Linked DNA regions of Arabidopsis thaliana. The protein of the gene in region 4 interacts with the protein of the main gene of each other region in a biochemical or structural test. Each region holds a gene or a part of one and is shown on either strand. Other genes may lie near its edges.

Region 1 (7,665 bases), on a different chromosome or scaffold from region 4:
GTTTTTTTTTTAGTTGTGAAGAAATGTGTGAAACTAGCGAGTTTTGTTTAATGTAATGATGCAGCATCACACGAAGAACAAGAAGTGCTTTGTGTGTAACCAACCAACAATGGGGATTTTCAATGCAGCACATGAGATCAAGAAGAGAATGGCTGAAGAACGGAGTAAAGCTGAACAAGGATTGTGAAGTCCTTGTTTCACTGGACAAAAAGGCAAAAACTATATTTGGTTATTTACTTGAGGAAAGCTTTTTGTTTTGTTGTACTCACTGGCCTATATATATTCATTCGGATGACGACGATAGTTGTTTCAAACTGATTAACTTTTAAATTTAAACAAACTGAAAATTGAATCAGAGTTTTGGAGTCAACTTCCTAGTAAATCATCGTCAGAATAATAGTCGTCAAACTCGATATCCTGATTCACATATTTTGATATAGAAATTTGCTTCCCAAATTGAAAACGCGGTCGTTTAATAAACAGGCCAAAAGTAAAGTTCCTTACCAAACTTTTTAATCTAATGGGCCCGTGCGCTAAGATACAGTTAATGGGCAACGCGAATCGGCCCATAAATAAACCACACCACAAGTAGCGGTAACAAGGTAGTTCTATGGGGTAGAAAACGCATCTGAACAGGTAATTATTTGTCCTACAAGGTTCGATCGAATGTTCTCATCTCTTTTTTTCTCTCTGGCTTTCCGATCTTCTAGATTTTCCAAGTCTTGAATGATGAGGAAGGCGAAGGCTGTGGCCTGTGGGTGAGGTCGTGCCAAAGTCTAAGGCTGTAACACGCGTCTGGTGGGACATCAACAGGTGTCCGGTTCCGGCTGACGTTGATGTTCGCAGGGTCGGTCCGTGTATAAAACGGGCTTTGGAGAAATTAGGCTACTCTGGTCCTCTCACCATCACTGCCGTTGGGATACTAACAGACGTCCCTCATGACTTCCTCAGACAAGTCCATTCCTCTGGAATCGCTCTTCATCACGTTCCCACCGGTTTATATCTTCTCATCCTTCATTTTCTAAAATTAGGGTTTTGCTTCTATTTGCCCTTTTTGTTTTTGTTTTTAAGTCTTATAGTTTCCGAAACAGCTCTCTCAGGGATTGGGTGGGCTGTGGTTAAGTGGACCTGGTATAATCAACCTCCGGCTAATTTAATGCTCATATCGTACGAGCATATCTACTTGACCACTCTTGACATGCTAGGTAGGATCGGATACAACACTGTTCGGTCTATTCTTCCAGATGATCCTCAACAAGCCGCATCCTCCGCCTCCCCTTCTACAGGGTCTTTCCTCTGGGAAAGCTTACTGGCAAGCTTACCAGCAGCAGGTCCTTGTCCTCTCTCTCTCTCTCTCACACTCAGTACAGTGTTGAAATAGTTAAGCTGTGTCTGACCTAGTTATCTCCACGGACGCAGATGATATGGATTCAGGGGCACCTCAGGAGGACAAGTGCGGCGAGATGGGTGAACCTGCCTTGCTTTGTGAGCAATGCAGATTTACTGTCCAAGGCTTTGAAAACTTCTCCACGCATCTCAAGAGTGAAGAACATGCACATGAAGTAAGCATCCTAGCCAAAAACGCAGACTTGTTGTGTCCATTTGAGTCAACAACCTCTTACCGCGAGTTTCCCTTTCTCACTTAATTCTTCCAGTTATGTTTTGCCTAAATTTGACCCCATATTTTGTTTTGTCAATGAGCAGTCTCAATACTACCGTAACGAAGATGATGAAACCGATGGAGACGACTACGTACGAGACTCTGAAGACGACGAAGAAGAGTAGTAAGAGTTGTGTGTGTGTTAATGTTATCTTAAGCTATCTAATCCTTTTTATGTTCAACATCTTCTAAATCCTCGTAAACTCTGGTTTTCTTTGTGTGTTAACTGATAATAATGGTGTTATCTTAAGCTATGAGTAGTAGTAAGAGTTGTGTGAGTTAATGTTACTGATTTCTCCAACGAATTTGCTTTTTTGGAGATTTTGTCCCAATGAACTGCAACAACAAAAGCAACTGGTGAGAAAATGATGACTTGTTTGAATTGTGTTAGAGTTCCAGATACATATGCTAGAGATGCAACTAGAAACTGGTCATATCTCAGCTTAAAATAACTACAAAGAGCATAACAAGCTGGCTAATACTTAAAAATGTAAAATCAGATTCAACAGAACCCAATGGTTTTGTGTGTGTTTTCAGACCTTTAGATTTCGCAAAGCCCACCAGAAACAATGGTTGCAAATACTTTCTTCTTTCTCAGTTCTAGTAAACTATAAGCCGAAGCTGTTTTTGCTTGTATTCGTTTGCCCATATTGTGATGGTCTTTAAAGATTGGGCCTTCTTTGGTTCATCTAAATTTGAAGCTTTTTCCTTTTGTTAAATTTGTTGAAACAGTCAAAGTTAGATTAAACCAGGACAAATGAATGAAACGATAAATTCATAACTTTTTACTGCCAGCATTATCAGAAGAATGTCGTTAATGTTGTCTTTTTTTCTTTCACTTCCGTCTGTTTTTTTTGTGGTATTGGTTAATTCGAAAAGATTCGGAACCTATTGGCCGGCAAAAAAGTTATCCAAATGAACAAAAAGAAGAATTACACGTGTCAAGTTCACGAGAAACGACATAATACGTGAACATGAAAATGACAGACAATAAACCAATGAAAATATGACACGTATATTGGTTTCCTATTATTTAACCGTATTTAGCTCATTGTCGCTGTCACTAAAAAGGCTCCTTGTTTTTATCTTGAAGCAGTTAATAATTTACGCCAAAGTCGTCTTTTGCGTTTAAGTTCGCATGCCTAGCTAGTGCCAAAGGTGATCCTATCCGATAAGCTTTGTTTTGGGTAAATTTTTATCTGATAAGGTTACTGTAATTATCGTCAATTACCGCTCTTTTAAGTACTATATTATCACTTAACATTTTTTAAAAAATATGATTGCAGAAAATGTTATATATAAACTAAATCCCTATTTTATCATAACGTCAATTTCAGACAATTAATGAGATATGTAAGCATAAACCATATTCATATTGAACAAGAAAACCTCCGGTTACAATTATATGTGTTGTTTAAAATGGTTACAAAATCGGAAGATTGTTCGTTATGAAAACCTTAAACCATAATTAATACATATGTTAGAAGATAATTAGATAAGTAATCATTTAACTAGATTTATCTAAAAAGTGATTATGTTGTTTTTGTTTGAGAAAACCAAGTAAAGGTGAGTCTTTTCTCCTTTGGGAAAAACAAAAGTAGAATTCAAAAAAGAAAGAAATAGAATTCACTAATTATATAGTAATCCATTAATATTACTGGTTAGAAAGCGTAATTAGCGGCGGTGGTTATCAAAAGTGACTTCCACCATATGTTTCGAAAGCTTGAGTTTCACGAAGAAGATGGAGGAGGGGCAACTTTAGACTAGTGGAGATGAATCGAATGATGATTTATTGTAGATTCTTTGTGGTATCTCATCTTTCCTTCGTATGAGGTGTGATTCACAACAAATACAATTTAACAAAAACTAGTTTGTCTACATTCGGTATGATATAATTAAGGACTTTGTCTCAAACAGATTAAAGTTCTTGTTTCATGATTTTAGATTGTGGATGCCTTGTACCAATCTTCTTGTAGAAATGCCTTCTCCTCCTAGAAGAGAAATTACACCTTACGTGTCGTACATGACTACATGGAACAGTCACTTTGCAGATAGGATATGGTGTTAGACATTTAGCTTGATACAATTAATTAATGTTTAACAACAAGGTTTAAAGGCAACGAGAGCTATATCTAATAAGATGTGGTCTAAGACATATGAGACCTGATACATGGAGAATCACTCATTTATAAATTTCTGGTATATTAACGACATTTTGTGTCTAAAAAATTAGCTATTATAATGAATATGGTCTAAAATTGAATTTAAATTAACAAAACTATCTATAAAGTTTGAAACGATCTTACCTAATCAAAACAAATAATTATCTAAGCAATCTGTTTTGTTTTGTTCGGATTATATAGGTCCCCAAAACGTCATACAATAAAACTTGCTTAAATATTTTGTTTTTTTGTTACATTAAAAAATTAGTATCTTGTTGTGTTTTTGTTTGGTTTGAAAAGCTGAAAATGTGTGAAGGAGAAGAAGGAAGCTATAAAAAAGAGTTTAGGTACAAAAGTAAAAAGTTATTATGTCGGTGGGTTCATTAAAAGAAACCAAAAAACATAAACAAGTAATTTTGTTTTGGCATAACGAAGCATCTTCTTCTTCTTCCTTGTATTTATTATCCATTTCCAGAGATTCTCCCTTGTGAGATAACAACGAAGAACGAAAGAGAGAGAGAGAGAGAGAGATATGATGGACGGCGTTGAAGGCGGCACGGCGATGTACGGTGGTCTCGAGACGGTGCAATACGTACGGACGCATCATCAACATCTGTGCAGAGAAAACCAGTGTACCTCTGCTCTTGTCAAACACATCAAAGCTCCTCTTCATCTCGTAAGCTTCTCCAATCTACCACTAATTTCACCCTTTTCGTACCATTTTCTCCATGATCCGTCAATTTTGATCCCAACCATCGATTTAGGGTTTTTTCCCCCAAATCTCTGTTTAACGATTGATTATAATTGATTTTTTTTAGGTTTGGTCACTTGTACGGAGATTTGATCAGCCGCAGAAATACAAACCGTTTGTGAGCAGATGTACAGTAATCGGTGATCCTGAAATCGGCAGTCTTAGAGAAGTCAATGTTAAATCTGGTCTTCCTGCAACAACATCTACTGAGAGATTAGAACTTCTTGATGATGAAGAACACATCCTCGGTATCAAAATCATCGGTGGTGATCACAGACTTAAGGTACAGCGAGAGAAATCAAATCTCATTGATGTTTGTTTATATGCAGATTCTCATTGATTGTTTGTTTGCAGAATTACTCGTCGATTTTGACGGTTCATCCGGAGATAATCGAGGGAAGAGCAGGAACGATGGTGATTGAATCGTTTGTAGTTGATGTTCCTCAAGGTAACACAAAGGATGAGACTTGCTACTTTGTTGAAGCACTTATCAGATGTAATCTCAAGTCACTAGCAGATGTTTCTGAAAGATTGGCTTCTCAGGACATTACTCAGTGAACTACATAATCAATGAACAAGGGCATTGAAGTGAAGTATCAATTCCAGTTTGTGATATAATCAATATTCTTCAGGATTTTTTTGGTTTGGCCTAGATATATATATAGATATCTATCCTCGGTAATGACCAGTCTAAAAAGATGTACATATTGTCCCAATGGTGAAGTTTTGATGTAAGATATCTCCTGGTGGTTTGTTATTTGTAGATATTTTTGTAAACAATGTAAATGTGAATGGTTTATGATGTATAATATATAGTTCACAAAAGATGTTTCTGTAGACTTCAGATTCCACTTCTCTATTGAACAGAACCTATGATTGGATGCTGAGAACTTGTAAAGAATCTGAGGCAGAAAGTTGAAAAACTGTGTCAATTTCATTAACTTGAAAAGATGAGCATAAATTGGGAGAGAGAGAGAGAGACAAAGATTTTGAATTGAGGTTTAACGGTAAAACACACAAAACCTATTCCCCTCTGTTTCCAATTTTCATCTAAACAAACAGGTACATATTTGAATGTAATATTGTATACAGACCAGGGGTAAAACAGGAACTAAAGAAGGCTAACAATCGAGTCGAACCCTCTATGTGAAGCCACAGGTTTAGTGCAAATTGTAATAAGTTGTTCAGAGAGACTCTTGACTGAAACAAATTGTGAAGCAGATTCGATTTTAAAATCAAAATTTGAGTGTCGAGCGGGAAAGTAAAAGTTCCGCTCCAATCTTCTAATCTTTTCGTATCTAGCGGGAAATTTCTCAGCAGGTGACTTTCATAATCGCAGTTTTCGTCGATTCTCTTTTCCGATTTTACGATTCCTCTCTCTCTCTCATGGTGCGATTTCTCCAGCAGTAAAAATCAATGGCGAGAACCAAGCATCGCGTTACCAGGTCACAACCTCGGAATCAAACTGGTATCTTAAATCTGCTTTCTCTTTCAATTTTTACTTCTGATTTTACCCAGAATTTTAGGTTTTTTATTTCGATTTTGTTAACCCTAGATTTCGAATCTGAAATTTGTAGATGCCGCCGGTGCTTCATCTTCTCAGGCGGCAGGTCCAACTACGGTACGGCATCTTTTTCCGTCTTAGGGTTTCCAATGTTTCTTCCTTTTATCGTTATGATCAAATTTGTTTATCTATCGAAATTGAAGACCCCGACAAGGAGAGGCGGTGAAGGTGGAGATAATACTCAACAAAGTGAGTTTTTTATATTTGAAGTCTTTTTTTTCCCTCTTTTCATCTCTTTTGTTTGTGAAGTTATTCTTTTGTAACATCTGCAGCAAATCCTACAACTTCACCAGCTACTGGTACAAGGGTAAGATTTTTGTGACCATTGCTTATGAACTGCTTCAACTTTGATTTCGTTATTAAGCTGACAAAATTCTCGTTTTGGTTTGTCAAGAGAGGGGCTAAGAGATCCAGACAGGCTATGCCACGAGGTTTGTTTTAAAAAAAAAACCAATCTCTTGTGATATCCCTGAGAATACAGGACACTTAGTGTGTTTAAAACTAATCTTCGGTGTTGTCCTTGTAGGCTCACAGAAGAAGTCTTATCGATACAGGCCAGGAACCGTTGCTCTAAAAGAGATTCGCCATTTCCAGAAGCAGACAAACCTTCTTATTCCGGCTGCCAGTTTCATAAGAGAAGTTAGTTACTCTTTTTCTTACCAGCCATAATAAGTTTCACAGCTTAACAATATTCATATATACTAACAGAGGCACAAGCCTTTTGGTGTTTAATGTGGCTAGTTTTAGGATTTGCACACCCCACACATATCTGAGCATCAATGCAGTGTACATAGTGAGTGATATAGCAATTTAACTAAAATTCAGAGTAATCGTGAGGCCAACCCTCCTTGTTTAAGGAGTGTGTAATCTAGTTTGTCTTTGAGGTTATGAGCTCATAGATTCAGAACCATATGATTCCTGTAGCTACAAAACTCAACATGAATCGTCAGTGATGTGGAAATGCTGATTTGTGTTACAAACAAACTATTTTACATTGTTTTTCCAGGTGAGAAGTATAACCCATATGTTGGCCCCTCCCCAAATCAATCGTTGGACAGCTGAAGCTCTTGTTGCTCTTCAAGAGGTACCAATCCTTCAACTTTTTCTTTATACGAATGTATGAATATAGATATAGAGATAGTCACACATTTCAACTAATGTCATTCCCCTTGATGACCAATCAACCTAATCACACAAATTCTTTGTGGTAGGCGGCAGAAGATTACTTGGTTGGTTTGTTCTCAGATTCAATGCTCTGTGCTATCCATGCAAGACGTGTTACTCTAAGTAAGTACTCTAAAAGAAGACATTTTTCAGTCTCAACTTAGGAATCACAAGCATACATTTTATATCCCTTTGAATCATTAGTTACTTGAATATCATATATAAAATGCTTATCTATATCTGTTTTTTGTTCATATCAGTGAGAAAAGACTTTGAACTTGCACGCCGGCTTGGAGGAAAAGGCAGACCATGGTGATAGAAAACTCACTCACTATTCACATCTCTTACATTGTAAGTGAGGATC
Region 2 (8,412 bases), on a different chromosome or scaffold from region 4:
AGTTGCAAACCAAACCAAAAACTATTTTTCGGATATCAAAACTTTTATCGAGTATCAACATCTCGGTTATGCATAATCTTTAAACCTACACACAAAAATATATTTGAATAAACATAAAACCAAACTAATTAGGTATTTGGTTTTGTTGTTGATTTGTAACCTGTTCGATTTCACAATCCCCTGGTTGGACCACATGCAAATTTTTCTTAGATGATCTCCGATCTATCTCCATGTTTATCTCAAAACTTTATTTTGAGTAAAACCCAAACTCCAAATTAAAATTACTCTATTTTGGAAAAAAATAAAATATAGTGATATGAGTTGGAAATGCTCTTAGAGAAAGAAAAACAGAAAGATTAGAAAAAAATCTATTACAAAAAAATTTCTACAATGAGGTCGAGATTTAGGTATTCTTTCAGAAGTAGTTAATATCGAAATCAAGTTTTTTCTTCATTTTTATTTCATTATTTTTAGTGAGTGATTATAAGTGCTAATTTGATGTAACTTTGAGTCGGGATTTCAACAATTTAGATATTCAAAATTTGAAGATAGTTGGTCCATAATGATTTAATAGTCTAAATTGATTATCTATGTTCCTCGATGTAGCATGTACTATAGTATCTCTTAGCTAGACTCTATTCCCTATCTTCGACTCTAGGTATATTGGGATATATTGTATGCGTTGAGCAAACAATTCACAACATAAATGTGTCTTTAGCCCAATCACAAGAAACCTGCTTTGTGATTAAACTATAGAAAGGTGAATAACTGAATATAAAACACAGGAAATTATATACATCGTACTGTTAAATCTAACACAGTAATGTTATAGGAAGATCTGATCATCGACATGTTTTAGTTGATCTAACAGTAAAAAAGATATAAAGAATCAAAGATGCATTAAGAATTCTAATTAATTAGAAGATTCCGGTATTATTATTATAATGATCTTATTCGAGGTGGTCCAAAGCTTTGCCGGTTTACCTTTAAGCATAATTAGTTTTCTTTAACAATCAATACACTGTTGGTTACACAAACCGAGACAACTCGAATTCGAATCAAATCAAATCTGAACAGCAAACCTAATGATAGTGTTTAAATAATAACATTATACAGTTTTGAGGAATTTAACCTCTATAATGAAGTAGTTTTTAGGTTTTTACTAATGAAGTCATTGTGTTACTACATCAATTTAAATCTGTATAATGCATATTGTTAAGAAAAAAAACTTATCACTATAAGATGCTAAGAGGTATACCCCAAATTATTTTTTACTTTTTTGAATTTAGTGTTAAATTATATTCAAAAAAATACACATTTTTACAAATAATTACCAATTACTTGAAACATTTTAAATGAGACACAACTTCTTTCACTAGTGCATAGACGCAAACCAGACTTAAATTTTGCTTGTATGCATTTCTACTCTAACACACTTCATGGTACTTAGACGGTTTCAAACATGTTTATCTATTATCTTTGCTAGCATCTCCAGATGGGAAGTTTGCTCTCCATGTCTTTTTTTTTTGTTTCGCTCATTTCTGATGGCATAAATCGCATTTTGGAAGCTGTATCTTAGCAACAACTTTTTCGTCTTGTCAATGTTTTTTCTCCAAAAATCTTCATAACCTCGTGCCAATTCTCTTGTCAAAGTTTCTCCCCCAAATAAATTATCAATCAAAGCTATAGTAAATAACAGTGGTATTGAATTATATTATAAATCTAGGTCTTATAAATCATAAAAAAACTGACGGTACAAAGTCTTGTATTATTGGCTTTTTACTATATTATGTTGAGGTTTTGGTAAGAAAATATTAAAACAAATTTCTTTTTATTTTATGATTATTTAAAATATTATTAAAACTTATTGTACAATCTATTTTTTATTTATCACATCTTTTTTTTGGTCGGATTCTTATTATCATCTTTTACCGCCTTTAAGTATATATCTTCATCTTTTATTTGTTGTCATTACTGCTAAGTTTCACCTTATATCACTAATTAAAGTATATAAGTTAGTAATTATAAATTAGTGGTACATGACAATACCTTTTTAAGCTAAATTAGATTTTATAGGTCAAATAAGACAGAATGAAATAAAAAAATTAGTTTGAACTAAATAAACCTTAATGACATGAATACTTTCCGGTAATCGAAAATGTAATAAATTGATTTATACTAAAGTTTTAATTCAAATCACAAAACAAACTACACTAAAAGTATATTTAACAGATTCAAAAAAAAAAAAAAAGTGTATAACACATCTATTTTGTTTTTTCTATCAAGAGGTTTTGGATCTGAAGTTCGGTGTGTTTTTTACCCAAACATTAGACTTAAAGCTGAGACTTTGAGGTGCATTCTCTTTGAAAAAAATCCCATAATACACTAGAACTAAATACACGAAGTCACACTGTAGTTTTATGATTCAAAAATTGATTTAAGGGTCAGAAGTGGTATAATTTAGGTTTCAAGGGTCAATTGTAATTTAAAGAGCCCATGCTGAATTTTTGCCTTTGACATGTTAACCCCTTCTCAATTTCTCTTTGATCTGATGATCCTTAATTACAAGAAGTGCACGAAAATCACTAGAGAAAAAGCATAATTACAAATTCACCCTAAATCATTATTCCCGCCCAGACTTAACCCTTCCTTAATTGCCCTTTCACCCTTCAATTTTAACTTTATTCCCATTTTGCCCTCCTCTGTTTTTTCCACAGAGAAGAAAAGAGCATCTAATCCAATCCAAAATCTCTTCCGGTGGTGTTTTCAGCTTCAATTCCAATGATCAACGGTGGAGTACCAGTGTAGAGACGGCGGTTGTTCATCGGAAAAGAATTCACAAGCTTCTTCTCCACTCAGAAAGTCCTCATGATCCTCCGTCTGCTCCATTTTCACAAACTGGAAGAAATTACCTCCTGGAACCGTCACCGGAGCCGCCACAGTGACATTAGAGCTGCTTTCTTCATTCAGCAGAGCGCTTGAATCGCTACTGTCTGAAGATCCAGCTGCGGCGGCGAATGAAGAAGCCGCCGCCTTTAATGGAAGAAGATCACGTAGATCTGTGAAACTCCGGTAATTAAGACCATCAGAATGTTCAAGAAACTGTGGAGGAGACGACGGTGCCTCTGTAATCTTCTCCGGCAACGAAACTTCTTCCTCCTTGACCGAAATATCACTCTCCGTTGTCACCGCCGCGTTGTTCTCTTCTTCTTCTTCTTCTCCTCCTCCTCCATTAAGCTTCGTTTTCAGTTTACTAATCTGCATCAAACCAAAACCATAAGTTTCAATTCTCTTGTAAATCTCAAGATTGGTAAAAAGTTTCAATTTTTTTAACTTTGAATCAACAAAAGTTTCAATCTTTTATCAAAAAGGTTGAATTTTTATACCTCTTGAAGGAGAGATTCATTGTCACGGCGGAGGGAATCAAAGTTATGACGGAGAGAATCGTACTGGGTTTTAAGAACACCGTAATCTTTCTCAAGCTGTTTTGTCTTCCACCGAGCACGACGGTTTTGAAACCAAACAGCAACTTGACGAGGTTGAAGACCAAGTTCTTGAGCTAACTTAACTTTCCTCTCAGGCTCAAGCTTATTCTCTAACTCAAAATTCTTCTCCAAAGCTTTAACTTGGTTAATGCTTAACCTTCTCTTCTTCTCCGACAAGCCCACGTGTCCTCTTTCTTCTACTATAGCTTCTTCTTCTTCCTCGTATCCTTCAAGCATCGACTGAAACTCTCTCCCACCGTATCTCCTCGGACTCTGCTCATCTGTAATTCCATAAGAAGAACAATTAGCAAACAAAGATGAGATTAATTAAAGGACTTGTTTAGAAAATTAGCTAAGTACCTGTGGAAGTTGTAGGACATAAAGAGATGAGACCACCCACTGAATCTGAACTACTTAATCTCTTCATCATCAACAATCTTTAATTACTTTCGAAATTTTTAATAACTTCTCAATTTAATGCATAGTACTTGATGATCTTTACTCTCTTAAACCCATCAAGAAAAGAGAAAACTTTGAAGGAAGAGAGAAAGAGAAATGGAGAGAAATTAAAGACAATGGAGATTCTTCTATATACAGAGAGAGAGAGGAGAGAGATTGTTGAGGTTGATGAGCGTTTTCCATATGAACAAGCTTGGTTTCACACTTTCTCTCAGTTTAAATAAACTCAAAGGTTGGGTTAGAAAGTAACCATGGTTAAGTAGATATTGTCTTGGGTGTTTTCTTTTGTAAATGATTTTTTTTTTTTTGTTAAAATAAATTTGAGGGGGTCCACCGGCTATACCCAGTTACCTCCAGGTTTCTTCCGGTATCACTGGAACTCGTGTAAGAGAAGATTAAAAAATCAATTAAAATAAAATTAATCTCAAACGGATATAATATGGCTCGGCTTATACTAATCGGCTCAGCTCCACTCAAGCTATACGTGGAAAGGAATCTCTGTGTTAAATTAATAATCTATTTTTAAAAATTGAATAATCGAGTTTTCTTTTTATTAATCTTTTGAAATTGTCTATTCACCATGTAAAAGTTATTATAACATCACAATATTGTGTTTAGAAGTTTTATAGTAGTGTGTAACAAAATTGGTTATCAGAATTATTTTGTTAAATGCTAAAATCATGAATGCTTTAGAGATATTTTTTTGACAACATTTTACAAAATATGTTTGTCTTATTCGCATGGTAATCTAATCATCATGTCTTCTTTAATTTGTTAAAGTTGTAATAATTGGATTATATGCGTTTTTTATTTTCTCTAACCCATTAAAAAATTTATAAATTAAAGTTATAGGGTGATGACTTTCGTGGCAATGCAAAAATGAGACAAGAGCTGTTGGGCCTCGATGACAGCAACAAGAGTGAGTTTTTTGCTTTCTTTTTATTTGGGTTAGGTTCTTTTGATTCTCCAAAACATATTTATATTCTCTTATATATTTGGAAAGTTTTTGGGTTTTTGGTTCTTTGATTTTTTTCACCTTATAAGTTCCTATATCCGGTATCATCCATTGATAATATAATTAGTTTGTTTTCTTTATAAAATGTAAATTATATTTTTTAGGTATAACATCATCTTAACTATAGTCAAAATAATTCTTTTGGATCGAAACTAACAACCTTAATATCAACATGAAATTGTGTTTATTTTAGAGGTGAAAATGCGCCAAACCTCTTCTTGTCTTTGGATTTCGGAGGACCATAGGTTCTGGAATGCTGACTCGCGTATGGAAAGATCCATGGATTCCCACTATCCTAGCGCGGCCTGCAAAGAGCATTCTTAACATAAGAGATTCTCTACTCTATGTCAATGATTTAATTGACCAAAACACAAATTTGTGGAAATTGGACCGTCTCCAAGCACTGATCGATCCCGTTGATATTCCACTCATTTTAGGGATTCGCCCAAGTCGTACCTACTTGAGTGATGGCTTTAGCTGGTCTCACACTAAATCCGGTAATTATACTGTTAAGTCAGGATATTGGGTCGCGAGAGATCTTTCTCGTCCTACTTGTGACCCCCCTTTTCAGGGACCAGGTGTTTCGGCACTTCAGGCACAAGTATGAAAGCTTAAAACTACGCGGAAGCTTATGCATTTCGTGTGGCAATGTATCTCGGGTTGTTTAGCCACTTGTCAAAGATTGACATATCGCCATATGGGTACAGATAAAGGTTGTCCCCGTTGCGAAGAAGTAGAAGAGACAATCAACCATCTATTGTTTCATTGTCCACCTTCGAGACAGATTTGGGCTTTATCGCCTATTCCTACCTCAGGGAATATTTTCCCTAGAAACTCTCTCTTCTATAATTTCGACTTCCTTTTTTGGCGTGACCGAGAATTTGGAATTGGAGAAAAGGTGTTGGAACTCTTTCCATGGATAATTTGGTATATCTGGAAAAGTAAAAATCGTTTTGTTTTTGAGAACTTCAGGGAACCTCCCCCTGAAACTTTGGTTTTGGCACTTCAAGAGACAGCTGTTTGGAAACAAGCAACTCTAAAAGAGGATGATTCCACTCGTCCAATCGTGTTCGTAGGTTCTTCTCAGACCCCGTCCACCTTGCTCCCTGAATGTCAACTCGATGCATCATGGCATGTAGATGACACATTGAGCGGGCATGGTTGGGTACTTGTTCGACAAGACTTGGTCATCCACCTTGGCCTTAAGAGCACTCGTCGAAATTTATCACCGCTTCATGCGGAATTTAACTCTTTGTTATAGGCAATGGAGTGCATGATCTCTATTGGTGATACTTCTGGTACTTTTGCTTCGGATTGCTCAGACTTGATTGCTATCCTTGATAACCAAGACGATTGGCTGACTTTTGCAGCGGAATTGGCTTCATATCGTTCTTTAGTTTGTTTTTTCCCTTCTTTTCGTATTAGATTTCTTTCTCGTAGTTCTAATACTCGAGCAGATTGTTTAGCTAAGAAAGCTCGGGCTCGCAATAGCCTTTTTTCCCATGTAAGCACATTGGTTCCTAAATGGCTCTCTCTAGCGGAGAGTCTCTTCCCGATAACTTAATATAAATGGTGTTTGAAGAAAAAAAAAAAAAAATGCAACAAAATCTACTCGATTTTCTATTTTGATACAATGCTCCATTCTTATAAAAAAAAATAAAAGAGGAAAACTGTAAAGTAAGGTGTAAATTTGGTGAAGAAAATCATTATCCAATCAAAAACGTTTTGTGTAATAGAAACGTAAATAAAACGAGTCAAGGCACCGACACAAGATGATCTCAATGGGGATTTGTGTTTCCACCTAATACGACATCGTATTCAATTCCTAAACGACGCCGTTCCGCTCGTGCTTACCCATAAATGGAAAAATATCTATACAACTGCCACGTCAGCACACCAAAAAATATCACCGGCGAAAAACACACACAGTGATATTCTACGGCGGTGGTTCAGTCTCTTCGAAGCTCGTCGTCTCTCTCTTCAAAACTCCGGTGAAAATGGCGTCGCTTACTCTCCGGTGCGATTCGACGCATCTTTTGCCTTCCCGGTAATCAAATTGAATTGTATTTCTCTCTGTTTCACTGAATTTGAATTGATAGTTTTTGATTAGATCTGTTTATCATTCGGAATTTGAAATTACGTTTGCTTATGATTCGATTTTGGATTCAATTGAAACACATATCTATGTATTTAGGTTTTGATGGTTATGTTGTCTTCATGGGTTTTTCAGTGATGTTGTCAAGGGAACAAAACCATTTGGAACGAGCTTGGTGTATCCTAGGATCATATCGAAGAAGTTTAATGTTAGAATGAGAGTGATACCTGAGGAAGGAGATGTGTTCTCTTCTTCTAAGAGTAATGGATCATCAATGGGGATTGAGTTACAGCCAGATTTGGTTTCGTTTGGAACATTAGCAGCTGAAATGATTCCTACAACAATGGATTCTCCTGAAGTTGAGGATGAAGAGTTTGATTTAGATCGACCTACTGATGGATTTGCGTCTATTCCTCAAGCTATTGAAGATATTCGACATGGCAAGGTTTGTAATAGTAGCATCGTGTCTGCTTACTGTCTTATTAGAAGGGGAAGGTCTTAAGTGAGAAAGCTTTGCGTTTTTCTTGCAGATGGTAGTTGTTGTAGATGATGAAGATAGAGAAAACGAAGGAGATTTGATAATGGCGGCATCTTTGGCTACACCTGAAGCTATGGCTTTTGTTGTAAAGCATGGGACTGGAATCGTGTGTGTGAGCATGAAAGGCGAAGACTTGGAGAGGTTAGAGCTTCCTTTAATGGTAACGCGTAAGGATAACGAGGAAAAACTCCGCACGGCCTTCACGGTTTCAGTGGTGAGTAAAAGTATGTTTTTCTTTGGTGTTGAGAAAACCACAAGACTCTTAGTGGTGTGTGATGAAAAGAATGTTGAAAATATTTGCCAGGACGCAAAAAAGGGAACATCCACAGGTGTCTCAGCTCGTGATAGGGCGCAAACAATATTAACCCTTGCATCAAAAGATTCAAAACCTGAAGATTTCAATCGTCCTGGTCATATTTTTCCTTTGAGATACAGAGAAGGTGGTGTTCTTAAAAGAGCAGGGCATACAGAAGCCTCTGTTGACTTGACTGTGTTGGCCGGTTTAGAACCAGTATCTGTTTTATGTGAGATTGTAGATGATGATGGTTCCATGGCTAGATTACCAAGACTCCGCCAATTCGCTCAAGAGAACAACTTGAAATTAATTTCAATCGCTGATTTAATCAGGTACAATACATTCAATTCAAGATCAGCTACTGGTGTTTGGATTAAGAACACTCAACTCCCTCTGTTACTGATGTTTTCCTCTTGATTTCTGGTAGATACCGAAGGAAAAGAGAGAGACTGGTTGAGTTTACTGCGGTTGCGCCTATACCGACAATGTGGGGACCATTCAAAGCACATTGCTTTAAGTCATTAC
Region 3 (6,728 bases), 3.0 Mb from region 4:
GGTTCTGTGAGATGATCAAAGCTCTGGTCTGGTAATACAAAAACCGGCGTTTCTTGTTTTGTGCTCGGACATGATCGAAGCTCTGGTCTTGTAATCGTCGTCTTCTTATTCTCTAACTCACTTGAACGCTCTATCATAGACGGAATTCGCCTGATTGATGGTAATGGAGCATACAAATTCAATTTCTTTCCCTCCATTCTTGAAAACAAAAAGAAGGAAGAATAACAAACAGAGTCTTTGTTTTGTGTATCTCTTCTCTTGCTATGTGTTTGAGATTGTAGTTGTTCTTATTAAAGTAAGAAAATCGGAAAAATAAGAATAGAGTTAATGTATTAATATATGTGTGTAAATGATTGCCGAATGTCTAGGACCGAGATTGAAGGCTGGAGTTTAGGAAAATAGCAGATGAATCTATTATAAGTGTGCGACTAAAGAATTGTCAATAAAGAGACTTTCTCTTTAACCTTGTGTTTGGTTGTTTTCATTTCTTATATAAGTTATAATTGAGCTTAGAATAAATCCCATCCCCCACAAAGATTTGATTGAAAATTAATGATGAGATATTGAGATCAACTACTTTTCTTTTTGTTGGAAATTTTATGTATTGTGAATACATAACGATGTCGTTAGACATCGGAGTACAAGAAGATCAGAGACACAAATTTGGCCCTAATAAGGTGAAATATTCCTCAAGGCAAAACGTGAGGAGTAGTTGTGGTTCAAGTTTCAACTGTATTTTTTTTTTCTCTAAAAGTAATGAAACAAACAAAATAAAAGAAAAAGTGAGAAAAGACATTTATGTGAGCCAAATTACCGACTTTGGTAATGTAACACATGTTGTTGTGTCCTTTTCCGAGCCACGCAACGTCGTTTATAATGTAAGCACTAATTTTCTTTTCTCCGAATGCACCACTAATTGTTTACTTTGTTTAAAGTCTTTGAAAGAAAAGTCGCGGCATTCGCCTCGACGGATGATGGGGCTCGATTACGATATATAATTTAATTACTTTGAATTACTCATAACATTCCAAAAAATTGACTTATAATTTGCTAAAACAACCGGCCTTAGATATTGACTATAAATTAACATTTCACTTCTAGATTACATAGTGTATAGTATATTACTTTTAGATTATGTAATTGTTTTCTAGGTAGTATAGTAATCGTTTTAAGAGGAAAAAACATTACTCGGCCACCTCTTTCCGTCTCCAATATTCAAAACTTTGATTTTTAATTGCTAAACAAACAAAAAAAGAATGAAGAATAATAGTATGAAAAATGAGAGAAAAACTAATAGAAATGGTATTTGAAGAAATTTCTTTTAATCATAACTTAACTATCTGTTTGTCGTTACTTATGTTTTGGTAGGTACTACATTTATTAATAACCAATTCTTCAAAAGTGTCTATAAATAAATTAACGACTGGTCAAGCGAACATTTATTCTAATCTATCTAATACAAAAAGAGGAGGAGAAACCCATGAAAATTTGTAAAGTAGACAATAACTTGAGAAATATACACCTGAGAAAAAAATCGATTTACTGAAAGAAAGTGAAATAAGTTTCGTTGACCAAAATCCCTAAAATTGCGGGAATGAAAAGGACAAGGGAATAAGTATCCTTCACGTGGCAACCACTCACACTCCCCCACCAACACCCAAGCTTTGAAATAGCAAGCCCCACCAACACCCAAGCTTTGAAATAGCAAGGCCCAATAGTCCATTCATAAAGGCCCAATTCCCGAAAAAACATGAAAATTTCCAATCTTCACCGTTATATTTAGATCAATAGAACCTCTATTTTGTCTTTCACCAACTTGTTCAAAATAAATTATATCTGTTGATTCGGTCGGTTTTTGATAAAAACACACCAAAGTATTATAGAGTAAACCACTCCATTAGTTCAACAGCTCAATGATTCAACGGACATCATAAATTCATAACCTCCGAACAGATTTGAGTCAAACGGCCATGAAATTCACGAGATCTACAGTTTAGGTCATCATACTTTCTGTTCTGAGTGTAAAATACCTTCCAACCTAATAATATTATACTAAAGTATTGATATTAATTAGTTTAGAACTTCAAATTAAGAATCTTACATGATGCCCTTTTACTATGCATTATGCAAAATGGACAAAGAATTATCAAGAAAATTTTCAAACATGTATTTAGTCTAACTTTTGTTGTCAGCAATACAAATCAGTATATTTAGTAACTAAACCAACTGAGTCAACAATTTAAAACCATTATTTCAAAGATTCCTAATTGTAAAAATGTAGAAATAACCTTCATTTTATTTCTCTTCATAAAAGAGTAGGAGAAAAGAGACAATTACAATCACGGAAGAAAGAAACCACACGAGCATATTATTCCGATTCTTTATATTTTTATTATTATTATTGCAATGCTAAAAGCCTTAAAGATTAAAAACTAATCCATAACGATCCATTTTTTTCTTAATCCAATGATTCATAACTATAACTACGATTAGTTTATTGATTAGCTTAAACATATAGAGCTTACTTCATCATTTTCTTTGTGAGCTTAGCAAGTGAAGTAAGGTTATACCGAATAATGTTATCAACAAAAAATATTGTATCTTCCTCGCTAGTTCCTTCCGGCACATCCACCACGTAACTCTCCACCACCACCGTCTTCTTTGCCATATCCTCCGGCGACGCGACCACCTTCGTTTTCGATTTGTAATTAACAAGCCTATGGTTACCGCCAATAATACTTACCACCATCACGTGAGACTCATCATCTAGCTCTTCGAGCCTCTCCGTGCTGAAATCCGCCGGGAAGCCGGAGACTAACGTCACGTCCCGGACGGAGCCTTTTCCTTCTCCTCCTTTGCCGCCGCCGCCGCCAGAGCGCATGGTGCAACTTTTGACGAAACGTTGATAAGCTTGTGGTTTGTCGAAACTACGTAGGATGGACCACACTAGTGGTAATGGTGCTTCAATGGTCTCGACTACGCTAGAGCGACATCGTTTTTGCTTAGAACTTTCCATTTTCTGTTTTGTTTTTCTAATGGGTTTGTCTTTTATCGACGTGTATTTTCGTGTCTTACTTTAGAATTTTCGTATTCACTTGTTTTAAAGCATATCGAACGAATCTACGTACATATAAATGAAGGCAAGCCACCGACTAAAATATTTTTATAGTGTTTTATATTGTTTAATTTATTTACGAATTCTTCATGTAATATTAAACTTTAGAGTTCGATTCGAATTCTTCTTACTATATACTAACCAAAAAACATTTTACAATATAAACTTGTACACAAGTATTGACTGCCTTGTATAGTGAAAAATTACACAATCTTGTTGGCATATTTAGAAACTTTCTTTTGCTTTTTGATAAAAGGCTTGCATATTCTGGAACTTGGTTTTATCAAAAAGATTAACAAAACCATCTGTGAAGGGTATTCTGACAAGAGTGATAGGGAATATGGTTTTAACAAACCCTCTTTGAAGGTTTTTCTTTTGACTATATCAACCATTTAAACAGAAAGAGAGATATACGAGTATCTTTTCACGAAGAATTAAATATCTTACCAACTGATAAAAATTACCAATATTATATTAAAATCTAGTCGGTCTATTTTGGAAATTTGCTGCAGCAATGTTTTGGAGCTAAATATAGATAGATGTGTCATTGCCCACGAGGTAAATACAGATGTCATTTAAACCGGAAAAGCACACAATGGAATTTAGCGAAACACACACTTGTTTACAAACATAACAGTGTTTCTCTTAATTGGTTGCCGACCAGAAAAAAAAAGAATCCAATCTTTTTTCCTTCATAAGTGTAATGTTCTACGTATCCAATCCGAGAGCCATGCAAGTTCTACATATCCAGGGTAGGCATATTCAATGTTCCATCAGTCTATTGCCTATTAGAAATAAGGCCCGTATAAGCCCAAACTTTAATGATGATATTTTCCATTTATACATTTATGCTTCACCCCACACAGCACAAAATCCATTCTGTTTTGGTTTTGGGTTTCAAACTATCCAGTCCGTTTGTTAGTCCTTTTCTTGGCTTTGGTTTTATGTTTAGCCTTCCTAGACTAAGATCATGTTTAACGGCCGGCATTGTGTCACCTCCATGGTTATATAAATAACAAAAGTTTTAGATGAAAAAAAAAACTCAATTCCAATGTGTAATCTGTAAAGACATGAGATAAAATGTAATAGATTTTTTTATATATATTTATAAGTGGATTATAAAGGTAAATTGCAAATTAAAAATGGGTAAAGATATGAAGTAAAATAGAATAGATTTCCATAAGTGTATTATAAGAATAAAAATAAAATACATGGAACAAATTATATTTGGATTTAAGTATTAAAAATATGACTTAATAAACTTATAAAATTCAAATTATTCTTCTCTTAGATATCCATCTCGAGAAACATGGACATGATGACTATTTAAAATCCAAATTTTCATAAATTGCGTCTTAGAGTTGTAGCATATATGGGAATTGAGCTCAAGCTGAAATATATACATATATTGTTGGGGCTCACAAGTCACAATCAAAAACAGAATCGCAATTTTGGTATTTCTCAAACTTGCTTTCTTTATGGTAAGCAAGTGAAACCAATGCCCATTGCCACCCTCTGAACAATCTTATCGGCACCATTGATAAATTGTTTTGCAACCGTATCACAACTTTCTGTGTTATTAAGAATAAAAAAAGTTCGAAGGTAATGGAAGTTGTTCTAACAAATGGAGTTCACTACCTTGTAGGTTAATAAAAAAAAAACCTTTGATTGAATGTCTATTTATCCGGTCTAACAGAAAAGAATACGTCAAATTTTTTATTTTTTTTTATCTCTATCAGTAAAATTATTTATTGATGATCAACAAATTTTTACACTCAAAGAAAATGAGACGGGCGCAAGTAAGCCGAGTTAATTAGCAACTACAGTAGATATGATAGATCAAAACTTCCGATTTGTAACAAACCGATACTTCCAAACTCATGAATAACATATAGTATACTAGTATATAAAGAAACAGGGCAACATGGAATCATATTAAAACAAGCTTATGCTAAAACTCATGGCTCCAAGCCATCATTATTAAATACTATGGTCTATGGCTAATATATAGCTAGCTACAAAAGCTACAAACATATATTAATTGACATATATGTACATCACTATATATAGCCTCTCTCCGGATTCTAGGGTTTCGGAAAACTCTTTCTACCGACTCGATCGTTTTAACTTAATCAATTGCCGGTTCGAATCCTAAGTTCGTTTTATATAAATCCTAATTTGGTAATGCTAGCGCTTATTCAAAATGTTCGTTTTTTTTCCTAATTGCTTGAGTACTTATTTTAAACTCATGAGCTGTTTATTTACATTATTGGGCTACACTCGCTAGACCTTGTAATCTAGTTCCCCATATTATCATGCTTCCAATAGAAAATAATTATATAATAAAATACATATATACATGTACATATTTGTATAGGTGTGCATATATATAACTATATATACATAAAAGTAATGCTTAATTGTATATACATTTAGTGTAAGAAATATTATTTACTTACTTGTGCATTTCAACATGTATTCCAGTGTATGTTTATACATCATGATGCATGCAACGTACAGAAATGTTGTCATTTAAATACATTCACAGTTGGGACACACTCTAATTATTATAGCTAATTAATAACAAAAAAAGCTACATTTGAAAGATATATTATTCTCTCTTAATCATATCCAATTTTGAGTACAAAATTAGTTTAGAAATATATATACACACACGCATTAGGGTAAGTAAGTGACAATAGAAAATCGGGAAAATTTGATGGAATCAATCACTATTATTAATCCGATATTATAAGTTTTGTAGTCTAGATATCCAAAGAGAATAATTTCAATTTTTTTAAAAGATCATACGAAACTTTAAATTAGAGAGAAAAAAAAGAGAATTGAAAATTGATTACCTATATTGGAAATTTTTTATATGATAAATTTATCAAGTGAACGACTGATTAGGAGTCGAAGAGTTTGCAACATCCTTCTTGACAACAACGACCTCGTTTTTAGTCTTCCTCCTTTTCTTCTTCCTGTACGGAATCCCACGAGCCTTGGCTTGAGATTCTCTCACTTCCCTCAAGTGAACCCGGATCGACCCGTTTGCAAACGGGTTAGTATCAGGTGACCCGCCACCGTGTTCCTCGTAAGCAGCTCTTAGCCGTCCGATCAAAGCATCTAGGCTTCCCCAAGCTTGTTTGAGAGGACACGTGCACGGACCTGGTGGATCCGGTTGTCCGAAGAAGACACAAGCTTGATGATGTACTTTGGTCTTACCAAACTGATCTAAGTACCTTAGGAAACTTAGCACGTGCGTGTAGTCGAATTGAGACATCATCAACGGTGGATTTTGTGATTTTAGGTATTGGACGAACGTGTTCCAGTCGCGGCGTTTCTGCGATTCATAGCGGCTGAGTGGTTGCTGCGGTTGAGGAGGAAGTGGTTGCTTGTGGTGGTTGGAGGAAGAAGACGGATGATCCGGTGGATCTTTCGTCGGTGTGTGACGATCCGAAGACATTATTAGGGGAATTCTGATTTTTTGTTTGTTTGTTTTGATATTATATATTTGGTTTATGAGCAAATTGAAGGTTTAAAAGCAACAATAAAGTAAGGGAAAGAAAGAGAGATACTGAGAAATAATGGAATGGGAGAGAGAATTATTCAC
Region 4 (8,884 bases):
TTCCATCCATGTGGTATTAATCTAAAATATCCAATGATTATGACATCTTATTTTATTTTGGCAACGATCGAGTATTACCATTAATTAAAATCAACATGCTATTAAATAATCCAAATAGGCAAAAACTTCACAATCAAAAGAGAAGAAGACCATTCGTCGAAGAAAATTACTCACAAGAGTATAAAACTATATATATGATCAGCCTATTCTTAATGTGAACATTGAGAAGTGGGGAGGTTAAAATGCAATGATTTTGATCCAAAGTTATTGTTGACAAAGACAATTAAAGAAGGAAAATTCAAAGGAGAGATGAGTCAAGGACAAGTCAACGACCATTTCGTCTTCGTCTTCTTCTTTATACTCATTAGCTACACGACGTCGACGGTTCGTCATTCTTCCTCTAAGCTTTATCTTTCTGATCTCTGACCTTGTGTCTCTGTGCATGTGTGTTTATCTGCTACTGTGTTTTGTCGGTTTGATCTCCAAAAACCAGACATGAACAGAGGAAGCTTATGCCCTAATCCCATCTGTCTCCCTCCTCTTGAGCAATCCATCTCCAAATTCTTGTAACTCTCTTTCTCTTTTTCTCTGTGTGGATTCTTTTTAAATGTCAATATTAGGGCATTATCCATAAATGTTTCTAGTGATTACTCTGTTTTTATTCTTCAGATTTAGATTTATAGTTGGTGATTACTCTGTTTTATTCTGCAAATCAGAGTTCACTGTTCTCTGTTTCTAGGATTTGTTTTCATACCACAAGTGATTCTACAGTCTTTTACTGTGTAATCATTGTTAGGAATTGAAATTGTTTGAATGGAGTTTTCTGACATTGAAAATTGGATTAGAACACAGAGTGGAACGTTTAAAGATGGAGATCTTCGAGTGAACAAAGATGGAATCCAGACCGTGTCTCTGTCCGAACCAGGAGCTGTAAGTTTGTTTATTCATGAGATCTCACTTCCTTTCGTACATTATGTAACTCCATGATTGAATTTGGATGTTTTTGGTTTTTGCAGCCACCTCCTATTGAGCCATTGGACAACCAATTGAGTTTGGCAGATTTAGAAGTGATCAAAGTCATTGGCAAAGGAAGTAGTGGTAATGTCCAGTTGGTCAAACACAAACTCACTCAACAGTTTTTCGCTCTTAAGGTCGTTGATTCAGATTCTTGTTGTTACTTCTTTTTCTAGTGTTTTCTTCTCTCTTGGTTCACAAAGATACATGATATTATTTTCAGGTCATTCAATTGAACACAGAAGAATCAACATGTCGGGCGATTTCTCAGGAGCTGAGAATAAACTTGAGCTCGCAATGTCCATATCTTGTCTCATGTTATCAATCTTTCTACCACAACGGTCTTGTTTCAATCATATTGGAATTCATGGATGGTGGATCCCTTGCAGACTTGTTAAAGAAAGTCGGAAAAGTTCCTGAAAACATGCTATCTGCCATCTGCAAGCGAGTACTCTACGCGAAATCTTTAAACATCTCTACCGGTTTTCTATTTTTATCTTCTCTAATAAAACACATAACTAAGCTCATTCTTCTCTACTAAACGCAGGTTCTTCGAGGTCTTTGTTATATTCATCATGAGAGGCGAATCATTCATCGGGACTTAAAGCCTTCAAACTTGCTAATCAATCATAGAGGTGAAGTCAAGATCACAGACTTTGGTGTCAGCAAGATCTTGACAAGCACAAGTAGTCTTGCTAATTCTTTCGTGGGCACATACCCTTATATGTCTGTGAGTCTCCTCCATTCACCTCTCAACACTCAATATACATACAAACTCAATTTTCAGAGTTACAAGTGGTTTTATACGACTTACTGGTGTTGTTATCATGTTTTGCAGCCAGAGAGAATCAGCGGGAGTTTGTACAGTAACAAGAGCGATATTTGGAGCTTGGGACTGGTTTTGCTCGAATGTGCAACGGGTAAATTCCCGTATACTCCTCCAGAACACAAGAAAGGATGGAGTAGCGTGTACGAGCTTGTGGACGCCATTGTTGAAAACCCGCCTCCTTGTGCACCTTCCAATCTCTTTTCTCCAGAGTTTTGCTCCTTCATCTCGCAATGGTGAGACAGATTTCGACCAGTTGTCATGTCATTTTTGTTGCTATAACGAGTAGGCATTTGAAATGGTGCTTTAACTTGTGTAGTGTACAAAAAGATCCAAGGGACAGAAAATCAGCAAAGGAGCTTCTGGTGCGTTAATCATATAAGACTCTGAGTCTTTCACCTTGTACTGTCTTGGACTACTTTTAACGATCTTTTTTCTGGTTCCATCTTGGTGAATAGGAACACAAGTTCGTAAAGATGTTTGAAGATTCGGATACAAATCTCTCGGCTTACTTCACCGACGCAGGATCTTTGATTCCCCCACTTGCTAACTAGAACCGAGTTTGAACAATCTTTTAACCTCCAAGTTATTATTTCATATCCACTAGAAGAGATTTTATGAAAGATAAATTTACGAGATGTTATGACTTAAGAGACTTGTCTACAAAATTTGATTTAATGTGTGTACTTTTCACATCACTATTATAAACACAACTATCATCAGTTATGTTTCTCTGCTAGTGGTGGATATACTTATATAGTAGTTCATATCATTATACACATTTTGTTTTGTACATAGTTTAAGTATCTTTCTATTTTCGTATGTAAAGTTTTGAAAGTAATTGCATAAACAATAATACTACATCTTAATGTATGTTGTAACCATATTACAATTAGCCCGGGAAGAAAAATACAAGGGGCTTTTTAGAATGTAGTCAAGACAAAAGAGCTTAACACATTAAGCTTCATTATCTCCATATGGTTATAACTTGTTAGTTAAAAAAATAAGCACAAATTAATAATAGTAAATACTTTTTCTTGGAGAGACCCATATTCATTTTAAAAATTAAGAAAAAGGACCCTCTCTGCCTCAGTTCAAGGGTTTGCTCTTGAGTTTCCTCCGAGGCTTCAAATCAACCACCACCACACTTATGTTGTCTTTGCTTCCTCTCTGTATCGCCAGCTTTGACAAATACTCAGCCGCGGACATCGCCGCAGGATCTTTCCCTTCCTTTCTCCGCTCATCCGCGAGCAACGATGCATCCCCAGCCACCGCGTTTTTCTTGTGCCACAAGAGAATCCGCTTCCTTGCCATCTCACACGCTTCTTCATCCGTCATTACATCCCAAACCCCGTCACTCGCCAAAATCAGACAATCATCTTCTTTTACTCTCTTCACAGCCGTCACTTCCGGATCAGGAATGATGGATGGTTTCAAGTATCTATCGCCTGTCACAATGATAAATGTTTGTAAGAAGAAAGGTTTCTTCTATTTCAAGAACCATTGAGAAGCTTTATGGAGAAATATAATGAAAGCTTACCAATGGATCTCGACATGGCGAGAACACCGAAAACACGAGCTCCATTCCACTGAATCACTTTCCCTCCTGCGGCTTCAATCCTCGCAGCTTCATCTTCTCTATCCGGCTACACACATAACACAAGCACACATCAGAAATGGTTTCATAAACCTCTCTAACTCAACATCTTGAAAACTAAAAACCTATCACAAGTTCACAACCAATCCAACTATAGATCTTGAGTCTATATATGCTTACTTTATGGTCAACGGATAATGGAAGTGCAGTTTTGCCGCGGCAAAGAACGGCTCTAGAGTCACCGCAGTTAGCGACGAAGATGTGAGACGGGAAAACAACGGCAACCACCGACGTTGACCCAACCGTCTCCGGCGCAACTGACTCAATCTCCGAGTCAACTCTCAGGAACGAGTTGAAAAGAGCTTTCTTCCACTTCTCCAGCCACGTATCACCATCGCAGAGCATCGGTTTCTCCTTAGCTATCTCCTCCGCCAAAGCCAAATGCATCCTCTCTCTACAATAGTTCGCTACCTACACAACAACAACCAAATCAGATTCTGCAAACTGTAAACAACCCTAATCAAAAGATCCAATCTTTTACCTGAGAACCGCCATGGCCGTCGTAAACACCGAAGAAATGAGCGGCGGATTGAGGATCAAACCGACCATCTAACATCGAACCAGAGGAAGATTGAAGGAATCTTGGTATAGTCGAAACAGCATCTTCCATCTCAGGTCTTCTTCCACAAATCGAAGTAAAACCATACAAAGGCACACTCTTGAATTCAAACAAACTCCTACTCTCTGTTCTGCTGATCATCTTCTTCTCGCTAGTAATATCTGAGCCGTTGATCTCATCTCCGGCGGAGATATCAACGACGACTATATCAGCAGCTGCTGATTCCTTCATGTTTAAATTAGGAGAATTGATCCGAGAAATCAAAACTTTCCTAGATTCAGAACCATGTGACCCAGAAACAGAGCATGATGAAGTCTCCGGTAACGAAACCATTAGATCTCCGTTCTCGGAATCTTGATTTGAGTATTGGTTATTGCAGTAACCTTTACCCAATCTGATCCCGGTGAAATCCATCTGGGTTTCGGAGAATGGCCTGAAAGGACCTGCGATCGCCGGAGATACTTCCTCCATTAACGGTAAAGATTTGATCTTTTTCTCTGGTTGTGATCTATAAGATAGCTCCAATGGAACAAAAATGAAAATTCGAGAGATTTTCACAAGAGAAGGACTTTATTAGAAGAAGCTAGGAAGACAAGAAGAAACACATGACTCCTATGAAAAAGGAAAGCAAAAACAGAGAGACATATACCCAAAAATATTTCCCGGGAAAATCACAAACACAGAAAGAAAGAAATGAATTGAATTTCAATAAGGGTTTCCTGGATTGTGGGTAATTCGTTAGGACCTCTTGAAAAGATTGGTGTAGTAATATCTCTCTCTCTTCAATTAATTTCCAACTATAAAACTATTTCTAGATTCATCTATATACACCTAAAAAAGTTGAAAAGAAGAGTTCTAATGTGCCTTGTTCACAGATAGAAGAGAGAAAGAAGGAGGAAATGGGTAGGCTAATGCAACAATTGCTTCGAATCTACTATTTATGTATGTATACTTATATACATATCACTTTATTTTATTACATTATTAAAGTGATACTTTTTTTGGCTTATTTATTTTTTGTAATAAGGGGAGATGTTTCGTTCTTGAAATTTTAAACTATTTAATTCATAAAAAGACACTTGCTTCAGACTTCCTATATTCAACATTTTTTTTAAAAAAAATGCTTTTATCATTTCTTATTTTTTTAACAAACATAAAGTTTTTTGGTTTTTTTTTTCTTTGGGAGAAATATATTTCTTTTTTGTTTGTCAAACAAAATAAAATATGTTTGCTTTTAACTTTAGTTAGGTCATCAGTTTAATGGATTTTATATTTTCATAAAGATGACTTTCATTAAATGACGTGTCGTAGTCCGAGTTAAATCTTGTATTGTTTTGCAATTATTTTATTTGTCATATAGTTTTCAATCTAAATAAATAGAGTTTGAATTACGAAAACATTATTCGTAATTCCTAATCATTGGACTAAAAAACACCAAACATAATATACCATTTAGATATTCATAGATTTAAATAAAAATTTTAAATTTGTGTCATTTTCAGAATAAGAACAATACTTTGTCCTTTAGATAAGAATTCAATGTTTTATATTCGGGAAAAATGAAAGACCACCGGTAAAATATCTAAATAATTGTTATTTAAGGGGTACGTTTCATTATTCATCTAATTATTTATCTTGAAAACCATTTTTGGTCAAACTCAAAACCAAAACCATTATGAAGTTATCGTCTCATTTATTTATGTGACCAAAAATAATAACTGAATCTTAGTTGTTAGAAAAATTGGTCTTTGTAGTTTCATACAAAAAATCAAGAAAAGAGATTTGTCGTGCAATTATAAAAATACGTTACAATTATATAAAGCTTTTTCAAATTCCAGTATATAATTTTCTTCTCAATTTATCCTTAAGGGAAATGAAGAGTTGGTCATGGAAGTCCATTAAATTCGACCAAATTTTTAGTTTTTTTTATTGACCAGAAAAGACAGTACAAAACATAAAATTATTGTTGTCGCAGTATATATATAAAATAAAAAGATGATTCCGAAGGTATTTTGATGGATAGACTCATGGACATAATTATGCAACGACCCAAAGAACATGAAAGAATCCGTCCAATTTTTTAAAATAAAATAAAAATGTGAATAGGTCCCACGTTTAGCAGAAAACAAAAACCGGTGGATGGTCGACACGTAGACGAAGAAAATGGGAAGGAGAGAGGGTGACGTGTACGGTTTAAGATGTGTTAGTTGGGTGGCGGGAGAGATTTGATCGAAAGAAAAAAAGGTTCATTGCACTGACAAAGACAGGTCCCCCTTTTATATTATTTTTCTTTCGTCCCATTAAATTCCGTAAATATCTTGTCTTTAAACTCTCTTTTTTCCTCTCCTCATTATTATTCTATTTTCTCTAATATCTCAATAAATATTTATTCGTCAACAGATAGATAAAAAAGAAGTATTTATTCATGTTCCATATGTTTGATGCCACTTGTGCGGTTTTCTTTGGACAATGTGTAATGATATGTTATTCATATGGGAGATGTGTGAAAGTGGGCTTTGGATGATGGGCAAGAGACAAAATACCCAAGACACCTCAAATACAATGTACCAATCATCTACCGTTTTTTTTTTACAAATTATTACAAAAGTAGAAAAAACATTGATTTTTTATTGAAAGCTATTTCTTTTAGATAAACTGAGAAGAAAGCCGAGACAAATATGAACACTAGTAATTTATTTTGTTTAATGTGTGATTAATTGAATTTGTTAGCTTTCCTTGCGATTGCGGGCAAAGTGGATAAGAGAAGTAGAAGTAGGTTTGTTCTAACTCGTAATAAAGTCACAGAACTAATTCTAAAGAACGGTACATATATCATCATTCATAAGTACTTGATGTCTCCCATTTTCGGTGAAACACTTTACTTGACCAGTCTTTTTAATATGCAACAAATCTTGTATATATTCAACATAAAAAAAATGCACCATCATTGGAATTGTTGACCCAACAAAAAAACCCTATAGGCATTAAAAGGCTCTTAGAGGGCCAATTTTGTTATCGGGCCTTCACTTGGCCAGTAGAAATTACAAGCATGCAAACAACAGTTCGAGACTTCGAGGAAGATTCCTATCTCTCTCTACTCGTTTCTTGAACCAAGTCATACAAGCAAGCAAGACAGCTTTATTAAAGTTGACTTTACTTTAATCTTTATGAGTCAACACCTCATCTTTATTAGTTAGTTAGCTCAGACAAGTAAAAGAAAGAGCGAGAAATCATCGAAATGGATTTCATCTCATCTCTTATCGTTGGCTGTGCTCAGGTGTTGTGTGAATCTATGAATATGGCGGAGAGAAGAGGACATAAGACTGATCTTAGACAAGCCATCACTGATCTTGAAACAGCCATCGGTGACTTGAAGGCCATACGTGATGACCTGACTTTACGGATCCAACAAGACGGTCTAGAGGGACGAAGCTGCTCAAATCGTGCCAGAGAGTGGCTTAGTGCGGTGCAAGTAACGGAGACTAAAACAGCCCTACTTTTAGTGAGGTTTAGGCGTCGGGAACAGAGGACGCGAATGAGGAGGAGATACCTCAGTTGTTTCGGTTGTGCCGACTACAAACTGTGCAAGAAGGTTTCTGCCATATTGAAGAGCATTGGTGAGCTGAGAGAACGCTCTGAAGCTATCAAAACAGATGGCGGGTCAATTCAAGTAACTTGTAGAGAGATACCCATCAAGTCCGTTGTCGGAAATACCACGATGATGGAACAGGTTTTGGAATTTCTCAGTGAAGAAGAAGAAAGAGGAATCATTGGTGTTTATGGACCTGGTGGGGTTGGGAAGACAACGTTAATGCAGAGCATTAACAACGAGCTGATCACAAAAGGACATCAGTATGATGTACTGATTTGGGTTCAAATGTCCAGAGAATTCGGCGAGTGTACAATTCAGCAAGCCGTTGGAGCACGGTTGGGTTTATCTTGGGACGAGAAGGAGACCGGCGAAAACAGAGCTTTGAAGATATACAGAGCTTTGAGACAGAAACGTTTCTTGTTGTTGCTAGATGATGTCTGGGAAGAGATAGACTTGGAGAAAACTGGAGTTCCTCGACCTGACAGGGAAAACAAATGCAAGGTGATGTTCACGACACGGTCTATAGCATTATGCAACAATATGGGTGCGGAATACAAGTTGAGAGTGGAGTTTCTGGAGAAGAAACACGCGTGGGAGCTGTTCTGTAGTAAGGTATGGAGAAAAGATCTTTTAGAGTCATCATCAATTCGCCGGCTCGCGGAGATTATAGTGAGTAAATGTGGAGGATTGCCACTAGCGTTGATCACTTTAGGAGGAGCCATGGCTCATAGAGAGACAGAAGAAGAGTGGATCCATGCTAGTGAAGTTCTGACTAGATTTCCAGCAGAGATGAAGGGTATGAACTATGTATTTGCCCTTTTGAAATTCAGCTACGACAACCTCGAGAGTGATCTGCTTCGGTCTTGTTTCTTGTACTGCGCTTTATTCCCAGAAGAACATTCTATAGAGATCGAGCAGCTTGTTGAGTACTGGGTCGGCGAAGGGTTTCTCACCAGCTCCCATGGCGTTAACACCATTTACAAGGGATATTTTCTCATTGGGGATCTGAAAGCGGCATGTTTGTTGGAAACCGGAGATGAGAAAACACAGGTGAAGATGCATAATGTGGTCAGAAGCTTTGCATTGTGGATGGCATCTGAACAGGGGACTTATAAGGAGCTGATCCTAGTTGAGCCTAGCATGGGACATACTGAAGCTCCTAAAGCAGAAAACTGGCGACAAGCGTTGGTGATCTCATTGTTAGATAACAGAATCCAGACCTTGCCTGAAAAACTC

What was found.
Region 1: the proteins of ABI1 (region 4) and RCAR1 form a complex in vitro, tested with the Arabidopsis thaliana proteins (one study listed by BioGRID).
Region 2: the proteins of ABI1 (region 4) and HB6 form a complex in vitro, tested with the Arabidopsis thaliana proteins (one study listed by BioGRID).
Region 3: the proteins of ABI1 (region 4) and PYL13 form a complex in vitro, tested with the Arabidopsis thaliana proteins (one study listed by BioGRID).

What each region holds. Positions count from the first base shown.
Region 1 is NC_003070.9:137,784-145,448, forward strand, and holds RCAR1 (regulatory component of ABA receptor 1), read left to right. Parts: upstream 1-4,086; 5' UTR 4,087-4,354; coding exon 4,355-4,498; intron 4,499-4,640; coding exon 4,641-4,856; intron 4,857-4,927; coding exon 4,928-5,131; 3' UTR 5,132-5,478; downstream 5,479-7,665. Other genes in the region: AT1G01350 (Zinc finger (CCCH-type/C3HC4-type RING finger) family protein), read left to right, coding at 65-187; AT1G01355 (Putative endonuclease or glycosyl hydrolase), read left to right, coding at 730-758, 814-995, 1,080-1,331, 1,420-1,562, 1,705-1,785; HTR12 (Histone superfamily protein), read left to right, coding at 5,990-6,041, 6,151-6,194, 6,281-6,326, 6,410-6,444, 6,532-6,568, 6,664-6,776, 7,144-7,221, 7,349-7,424 and 1 more. UniProt on the Arabidopsis thaliana protein: Receptor for abscisic acid (ABA) required for ABA-mediated responses such as stomatal closure and germination inhibition.
Region 2 is NC_003071.7:9,523,698-9,532,109, forward strand, and holds HB6 (homeobox protein 6), read right to left. Parts: upstream 4,149-8,412; 5' UTR 3,916-4,148; coding exon 3,846-3,915; intron 3,767-3,845; coding exon 3,387-3,766; intron 3,259-3,386; coding exon 2,773-3,258; 3' UTR 2,291-2,772; downstream 1-2,290. Other genes in the region: AT2G22440 (non-LTR retroelement reverse transcriptase), read left to right, coding at 5,213-5,537, 5,775-6,220; RIBA2 (riboflavin biosynthesis protein), read left to right, coding at 6,957-7,006, 7,190-7,499, 7,585-7,806, 7,897-8,219, 8,315-8,412. UniProt on the Arabidopsis thaliana protein: Transcription activator that may act as growth regulators in response to water deficit. Interacts with the core sequence 5'-CAATTATTA-3' of promoters in response to ABA and in an ABI1-dependent manner.
Region 3 is NC_003075.7:10,250,647-10,257,374, reverse strand, and holds PYL13 (PYR1-like 13), read right to left. Parts: upstream 3,017-6,728; coding exon 2,522-3,016; downstream 1-2,521. Other genes in the region: AT4G18630 (hypothetical protein (DUF688)), read right to left, coding at 1-197; LSH9 (LIGHT-DEPENDENT SHORT HYPOCOTYLS-like protein (DUF640)), read right to left, coding at 6,006-6,581.
Region 4 is NC_003075.7:13,217,302-13,226,185, forward strand, and holds ABI1 (Protein phosphatase 2C family protein), read right to left. Parts: upstream 5,076-8,884; 5' UTR 4,528-5,075; coding exon 3,979-4,527; intron 3,909-3,978; coding exon 3,618-3,908; intron 3,487-3,617; coding exon 3,381-3,486; intron 3,289-3,380; coding exon 2,930-3,288; 3' UTR 2,614-2,929; downstream 1-2,613. Other genes in the region: MEK1 (MAP kinase/ ERK kinase 1), read left to right, coding at 496-566, 846-930, 1,017-1,151, 1,238-1,462, 1,562-1,744, 1,853-2,076, 2,160-2,205, 2,299-2,394; RPS2 (NB-ARC domain-containing disease resistance protein), read left to right, coding at 7,295-8,884. UniProt on the Arabidopsis thaliana protein: Key component and repressor of the abscisic acid (ABA) signaling pathway that regulates numerous ABA responses, such as stomatal closure, osmotic water permeability of the plasma membrane (Pos), drought-induced resistance and rhizogenesis, response to glucose, high light stress, seed germination and inhibition of vegetative growth.